Ovis aries: one gene and its partner. The protein of the gene in region 2 interacts with the protein of the main gene of each other region in a biochemical or structural test. Links are inferred from orthologs where the notes say so. Each region holds a gene or a part of one and is shown on either strand. Other genes may lie near its edges.

Region 1 (3,815 bases), on a different chromosome or scaffold from region 2:
TGGCTCTCCTCTACATTCGCATGTTGATATACTTATTAAAATATTCCTGTATAATTAATGTTTGGTCTTATTATTTCAAGTCAGGTTTAAAACCAGCCATCCAGACAAAACAGGTAATCAGAAAGACTATTTCTTCCCCACCTCCCTAACCCCAATAACTATGAAGCCAATTTTACGACATGACTCCAAACACTGGATTGTGACGACAAATGCTAGGTCCAATTTCTTCATAATCCTTTTTGGTGTGGCATACTTGGTAGAACTCAGGCTGAAAATAAAAACAGATTTTTGGAAAGGTCAAAAATGTAACACTTTTCGACATGCTTTAAGATAAATATGTTAAATCTAAAACGTTTATCAGTCCATTCATGGTAGCTGAACAAAGCTTTGAAATTCTAGCAACTGTGACTCAAAATCAGCTACAAGTCTATAACCAAAACTGAAAATGAGCATTTGACAAAAGTCTCTTCAATTCCCCTCCTCAACATCTGTTTCTCCTGAAATTTTTCAATTTTGAAAAAACTGAATGGAATGGAAGGTTGAGTCTCAAATGCCCAACTATTCTGTTGTGGCTTTCCCACACTGTACACTGAAACAAGAAAAGCAGCAGCATTCATATAAGTTACAGGTGATATATTCTAGGTCATGCTCCAAAAACTTCTAGATGAACTTGCTTTCCTCACTGAAGGTCTGGTATAGACAGACTGTTCCATAGTCTATCACCTCATTTCTTCAAGGGGAAAGTTACACACTCAACGAGGTGACAGAGACTTCACAAATGAAGACAATTCAAATTAAGGAAGAAAATAACTTTTACCTCTTATTTTTAAATGCTTTTACTGAAATCCAAGGTTGTATAGTTTTCAATAATTCAAATAAATTTCTTACATTTTATTTTATACTGTGTACTACAAGATAAAGCTAAAAAAGTGAAGTCGCTCAGTCGTGTACAACTCTTTGCGACATCACAGACTGTAGCCCACCAGGTTTCTCCGTCCATGGATTTTCCAGGCAAGAATACTGGAATGGGTTGCCATTTCCTTCTCCATGTACTACAGGATAGAACACCACTATTTACTAGGCAAAGGATGTTAACATTTAAAGTATCTTTCAAAGGGACTTTAAGATGTTTTGGTTTGGGAGAGGTAACTTATTAATTCCCTTGACTCAGTTTAGAACATCATACTTCTTATATGGTAACTCTTAATATTTTAAAATATTTGTACAGAAAAAACAATGACCTTCTGATACCTGTATTACTACAGACTTAAGCCTATGCTCTGCAACAAAAGAAGCTACCACAATGAGAAATCTGCACACTGCAATGAAGAACAGCCCCCAGTTGCTAAAACTAGAAAAAGCCCACATGCAGCAATGAAGATTCAGCACAGCCAAAAATACTACATTAAATAAATTTTAAAAAGAAGTGCTCACTCAAAAAATGTCTAGCAAGATCAACAACAACAAAAAAACCACCCCAAAAAACCAGTAAGTCCAAATGAATTCCACTTTTCAAAAATACTATGTTTATGTGTGTCCAATTTTAAAACTTTGCTGTGCAATATTACATAAAAACTTAAGAAATTTCTCTGTTGCTCTAAATTGTTTAAGTTGATAAATTATTTCATCTTTAAAACAAAAAAGTCAAATTTTAAAGTAAGCTTCATCTCACTTACTGTGGAAGCCAGCATAGATCCTCCAAACCAAACTGCGTATCGTTGCATGTGATGTGTAATGACTTGTACATCAATAGGTTTCGGCTGTAAAAGATATAGTAAGATCAGTTCAATGGTAAACTCATATAACAATTCCTGTATTATTTAACCTTAGTTGTACACACTCAAAAATAAATAAACAAACAAAGATGTGGAGGTGGGGGTGTACATAGGGCAAAACAATGTAACAGAAACAAATTAAGCTAATTTTATTATTTGTTTTAAAAAAATATAACCACAGTAAAGGGAAAAGAACTAATCCAGGTAACCCATGAACACAGTATTAGGACTACGCCCTCAGGGTTAAGTTAAAAACTAAGCAAACACTGAACTCTCATTAGTCAGCCTATGTCTCACAGTGGCATGGATCAATAATTCTGAAACTACTATATATGTATTCTAGGACTGAGCAAACAACAAACATAAGGCTGGTTCCTTACCATCAGAGAAGAGCATTACAAATATGGGAAGGTATAAGGCTAGAATGAACCTTACAGTACTCTGGAACTTCTATTATCAGTATGAATCTGTAGTTTTTAGGTTATACAGAGAGCTAGATTTATATGCATACACACACATACTACATCTGACTGCCAACAAGGCCTAGCTGCCCTGACCCCTCAGTAACAACTGAATATATATCTAGTGTCCAAATCTTGGTTTCTTTTAATTGAAGTACAGTTGGTTTACAATATTGTGTTAGTTTCTGGGTGTACAGCAAAGTAATTCATATCTGTATAGATACATAGATAGATTTCAGATTATTTTCCATTAGAGGTTACTATAAGATACTGAATATAATTCCCTGTGCTATACAGTAAAATCCTTGTTGCTTGTCTATTTTATGTATAAGACAAGAAAAGCATTCTCCACTAAAAAGAACAAGGGTGCCTTGAAATAAAATGGCTGATTTCAAGACTGGAGAAGAGAAAGTACAAGATGAACTTGCAATATCTTGCTATTTCAGAAAGTTAGGATGTACCTGCAGAATACTGGGGCGACAACAAAAGGAATAAAAGCCACCTCTGAAGGATTCTTACTAGTCAAATATGAGAAAGTCTGAGCATCAAACTTAATAATAGTACTAATGATATGTTATATCATAATATTAATGATAGCACCTAGAGAATAACTGAGAAATCAGGAATTCAGGGATATTAATGAATGAATAAGGGGGAAAAACATATTCTTTCTTACAGTAAAATGAGACTATGAAACAAAGAAGAAATAATGGAATTTGCAAAATACCATTTGGCAACTACCACAGCAATAACAAAATATGATGCTATAAGCAGTGGCTGAGACTTTGATGAAAAACAAGACAGTTACACATAATCTGAAAGTATCATCCTATAAGATTCTTATTAAATATAAAGGAAAAAACAATAACTTTATAATAGAGACACCTGACACACTTAACCAGGTGATCAAACTTAACATAAAACAAATCATGCATCTGGCAATCCAATGCAGTAAAAAGAATACAACATCCACTTCTGTACTATTACTGCAAAAAATGCATTATCTGAACCTAATCATAAGAAAATATCAGACAAACCCAAACTGAGAAACAGCTTGCAAAATAAATTTCCTGTAGTCTTCAAAAATACTGAAGTTATAAAAGACAAAAAAAAAAAAGACTACTTTTTCCAGACAAGAGGGAAATGAAACCAAATTCAAACATATGATCTTGGACTGAACCCTAGACTAGAAAAAAAATATATATATATATATTTTGGTTTTGATAATTGTAATGGCCTGTTTTTAGGAAATATATACACTAACATTTAGGGGTAACAGGCTATATTTGAAACTCACTCTCAAATAATTCAGGAAGATACATGTGTCTATTTGTATACATGGATATATTTATAAAAATAGAAAAATAAAGCAAATATGTTAAAATTTGGAAATCTAGGAGAAGAATATATAGGAATTCCACTAGAATTTGCCAACAGTTTTACCTTATGAAATTATTTTGGTATAAAAAAAATTTTTTTAATTTATGTATCACAAAAAGATACGGCTTTTTGTTACTAAAAAAACGCTATTTGACTGTCATTTAAATTGGATTGATGGAAAAAAAAGCAAGATTTAAAT
Region 2 (3,815 bases):
ACCGAGCCTGCGCGCTGCTGCGACTGAAGCCTGAGCGCCGAGAGCCCGCGCTCCCCAACAGGAGATGCTACCGCGACGAGAAGCCCGTGAGCCGCAACCAAGAACAGGCCCTGTTCACCGCAAATAGAGAAAGACTGCACAGAGCAAGAAGGGCGGCCATAAATAAAACAAACACTAAGTCAGCCTGCTTCCTCAACTACAGCAGAGGCGAGATGGGCCACCTCCAAAGAAACAGCATCAACTCAAGTTCCGCTCAAGGCTAAGTGCCTATAAATACTACATAGCTGTTTTACACACAGCAGGCTCCGCCACAGACCCATGAGCAGGGACTCAACCCCGCCTGAGTAGGCCCAGAGCTGCCAAGGACACCTGCGCTGCTCCAGGCGCTTCGGCCTCTGCTCCCCAGCTTCCTGGAGGCGGAGCTATTCTGCAAGGGCATCTGGGGAGAAAGTCTGGCAGAATGAACAGGGTCCAACAGGAGGTCCTGCTGAGCATGTGCACACAGGGCAAAGGCGGACGGGTGTGTTCCCCACACAGGGAGGGGCGGCCCAGCACAGGCAGGCCCTCGGGCAAATGGGAAGCGACACTCTCAGGTTTAGCAGCCCCTCCCTCGGAGAGACGCCCACTCACGGGTGCTGCCAGTGGTGGTTTTGTGAGCTCTGTTTCTACGTTGCCAGTGATTCAAAAACCTGAATGCACAGGCCAGATAAAACACAGCATACAGAAGAACCAGCCAGTCTCCACCTCTGCAGCAGGGGTCGAGACTATGCGTCCAACTCCATACACACGCACCTCAGTGGGCAGAGGGCTATAACTGACCTCCAAGAGGGGGCACCTCGATGAAGGGAGGCTCAGGCTGGCTGCTAAGGACAACCTGGCAGCATCCAGCAAAATGTTAAGTTCAACATCCTTCGACTCAGCAATTCCAATGCTAGAACTTATCTTAAATAATCACTCTTGTACGTAAGACATAAAGACAAGAATATTCACGGTAGGCAATTCTTAACATCCGGAAGTGGAGATACGCTCAACTCCACCTTCCAGAGAGGAACAGTTCAGGGACTACGCCGTCTTCGTACAGCGGAGGACTGTGCGGTCATCGAAACGACGACAAGCCCCCACACCAACCAGGGAAGAGCAGGGCTGTCCAAACACTTCGGGTTAAGAGAGCTGTATAACCAAAACATAAAGCAGCTGGCACGGGGAGAGGGCGCTCCCTGGCTGGTGTCAGTAAACCCATGAGCGACGAGGGGCCGCGGGCGCCCGACAGTCTGTGGGGTGCGCAGCGGCCGCCCGCCCGCCCACCTCTCTGCGACCCGTGCTTCTCCGTCTCGCCCTGGTAGTCGAAGCCCACGGCACTCTTGTCCACGCGGTCGGACTGCACGCCGTACTTGCCACCGAAACCGCTCGAGTAGTCTGGGGAGACAGGGTGGGCAAGATGCCTCTGGTGAAAAGCGGGAGAGAAGCGCCGGGCAGCAGTGCCCCAGGAGACAAAAGTGCCTGTGAGGCAGCACCAGGAGCCACCCGCCATCAGACGGGACGCGCGTGCCGTCTCGTGTCCCTGCAGCCTGGCCCCTTCCGACAGCTGGAGGGCAGAGGTGAGCCACCGGTGCACTCTGGAAAGTAACCATTCAAACAAAGCTCAGCGTATGAAGAAAGGGACATGGCTATGTGGGTCTTTCTAGAAAAGACCGGAGCCCGCCAACACCCTGGGCTGGGTGGACTCCTAGAGCGCTCCCAGGCCGGCTACTTCCCTGGTCATCGGATGCCCTGCAAGAGGCGTAAGCAAACAAGCTCGCAAAAAACACCTCGAGTGCTTTGAGGAAGTGATGTACTTTCATTTCAAAAAAGGCTCACAAGTGAGCGCGAGCTCATGAAGACCAGCCAGCACCGTGTTCAAGACAGCTCGCACACTGTGCAAACATCAGCAACGAAACGGCTCTGGTCACTATCCTAAGGGGAAAGTCTGCTTTGCCGACCTAGCTTAAGAGCGAACTGTGCCCGAGGCAATGCTGCTCAGAGGAGGGAGGCCACGAGGAGACACAAGACGCCAGGCCAGCGCGCCCCCTGACGGGGCCCCGCCACACCACAGAAGCCTGAGGGGAGGGCAGTGTCCCGCCCCTCCGGATGAGGCCGCGAGGGACGACGCGCTCCTGCCCTTCAAAAGCGGGGGGCTTTCTGCACCTTCCCCATCTCACCTTTCTGCGAGGCGTGTTTCTCGGTCTTCCCCTGGTACTCGAAGCCCACGGCAGACTGCAGTCACGGAAAAGAGAAGGTGGAGATCTCAATGGCTGGACCCACAACACGCGACGTTTTAAAGAAACACGAACCACGTTACTGGTACTTTTTGATTTTTTAATTTACTAAGCTACTAATGCCCAAAGCACCAGCATTTTGAATTTGCACACCCTGAAACACTGAAGGCCAGGGGCCGCCCCAGCCAATGAGCGAGGCAGTTCTCAATGCTACGACATAAAGTGAGGGGCTGCCGGCCCTGAGCCAGGGCCTCAGACCAGAGGAACAGCATCAGATGCTCAGCCCAGCCCTGGAGGTGGGTGTGAGGGGGGCCCTCTGTCACTGTGACACAAGCAGGGACAGGGAGTCCCCACCGTCCCCCGGGACACATCGAAGGCCATCTCAGGGCCACTCGATAAGCAGGCACCAACATGGGGGTTTCTATACCGGGAAAACCCTCTCGCCTCTTAAACAGCCAATCATCTCAGAGCATCTGCGAAGGTGGGGGCGGGAGGGGCCTTAGGAGCCTGTGCTCGGGGCCCCCACCTTGCATCCCCACAGTCCGAGGCACCTCCGCGCCACTCCGAGACGCCCAGAGGACACCTGGAGCGACCTCAATCTACAAGGTGGGGCCGGCTGCCCACGACACCTCACTTACCTGGTCCACTCTGTCCACCTGGACGCCGAACTTGCCTCCAAACCCCCGGACGGAGTCAACCTGCGAGCAGTGCTTGGAGAGCTTCGACTGATACTCATGGCCGACGGCTGACTGGAGCAGGGGCAAAGTGGAGCGTCAGTCGCCCACCAGCACCGCCACCCTGGACCCACCCCCACCCTGAGGCAGCCTGCACTTCGGCTCCACATGGAAGCCGGCCCAGGGGTGGTGACTCCAGGGGCATCGCCAAGCCAGGGCCCCCAGTCAGGTGTTCCTGAACCCGCTCCACACCAGGCTCCCCAGAAGTCGCCCAAACCCCAGCCACAGTGGGCCTCCTGAGGTGCCTGGGCATGAAGAACCAGGAGGCCAGGCCCCAGCCAGCACCAGAGCCAGCAGCCTGCCAACGACTCCTGAGACGGCTTCCAGCAGACTGCCGGGAGTGGTCACCCTCCTCAGGTGCGACACTGTCAAAGCATGCGACCCAGGAATCAGGGCTCAAACCGGAACCCAGAGGACATGCGTCAGGCACACCACACGGTGAGTGTCAACGCCTGCCACGCAACCAGCCCGCCCTCGTGTGCAGCGGGGCCTGCCACCGCCTCCCCACCTCGTGTGCAGCGGGGCCTGCCACCGCCTCCCCACCCCCAGTCAGGGAAGCGGGTCTGGTGACCTCTCAAGGCCACATGCTGACCGAGCAGTCCACCCCGAGCTTTCCGGCGTGCGGTCAGCAAGCCGAGGCCTGCGGCCCACATCCAGCACCGAGGTTCTTTGTAAATAAAGCTTTCTGGAACATACCACATCTGTTCATTTACAGAAAATCTATGCCTAGCTTTGTGTTAAGACAATACAGCTAGTTCAGGAGCCACCCGAGACCCTGTGGCGGCCAAGAAACTAGAATATTTACAGCCTCAAGTCTGAGCAGCCC

The links.
Region 1: the proteins of CTTN (region 2) and ACTR3 form a complex in vitro, tested with the Homo sapiens proteins (3 studies listed by BioGRID). The link is inferred for Ovis aries from reciprocal best matches to the Homo sapiens genes CTTN and ACTR3.

Annotation. Positions count from the first base shown.
Region 1 is NC_056055.1:179,038,562-179,042,376, reverse strand, and holds part of ACTR3 (actin-related protein 3), read right to left. Parts: intron 1,761-3,815; coding exon 1,677-1,760; intron 269-1,676; coding exon 173-268; 3' UTR 1-172. UniProt on the Homo sapiens protein: ATP-binding component of the Arp2/3 complex, a multiprotein complex that mediates actin polymerization upon stimulation by nucleation-promoting factor (NPF).
Region 2 is NC_056074.1:43,921,581-43,925,395, reverse strand, and holds part of CTTN (src substrate cortactin), read right to left. Parts: intron 3,005-3,815; coding exon 2,894-3,004; intron 2,254-2,893; coding exon 2,199-2,253; intron 1,417-2,198; coding exon 1,306-1,416; intron 1-1,305.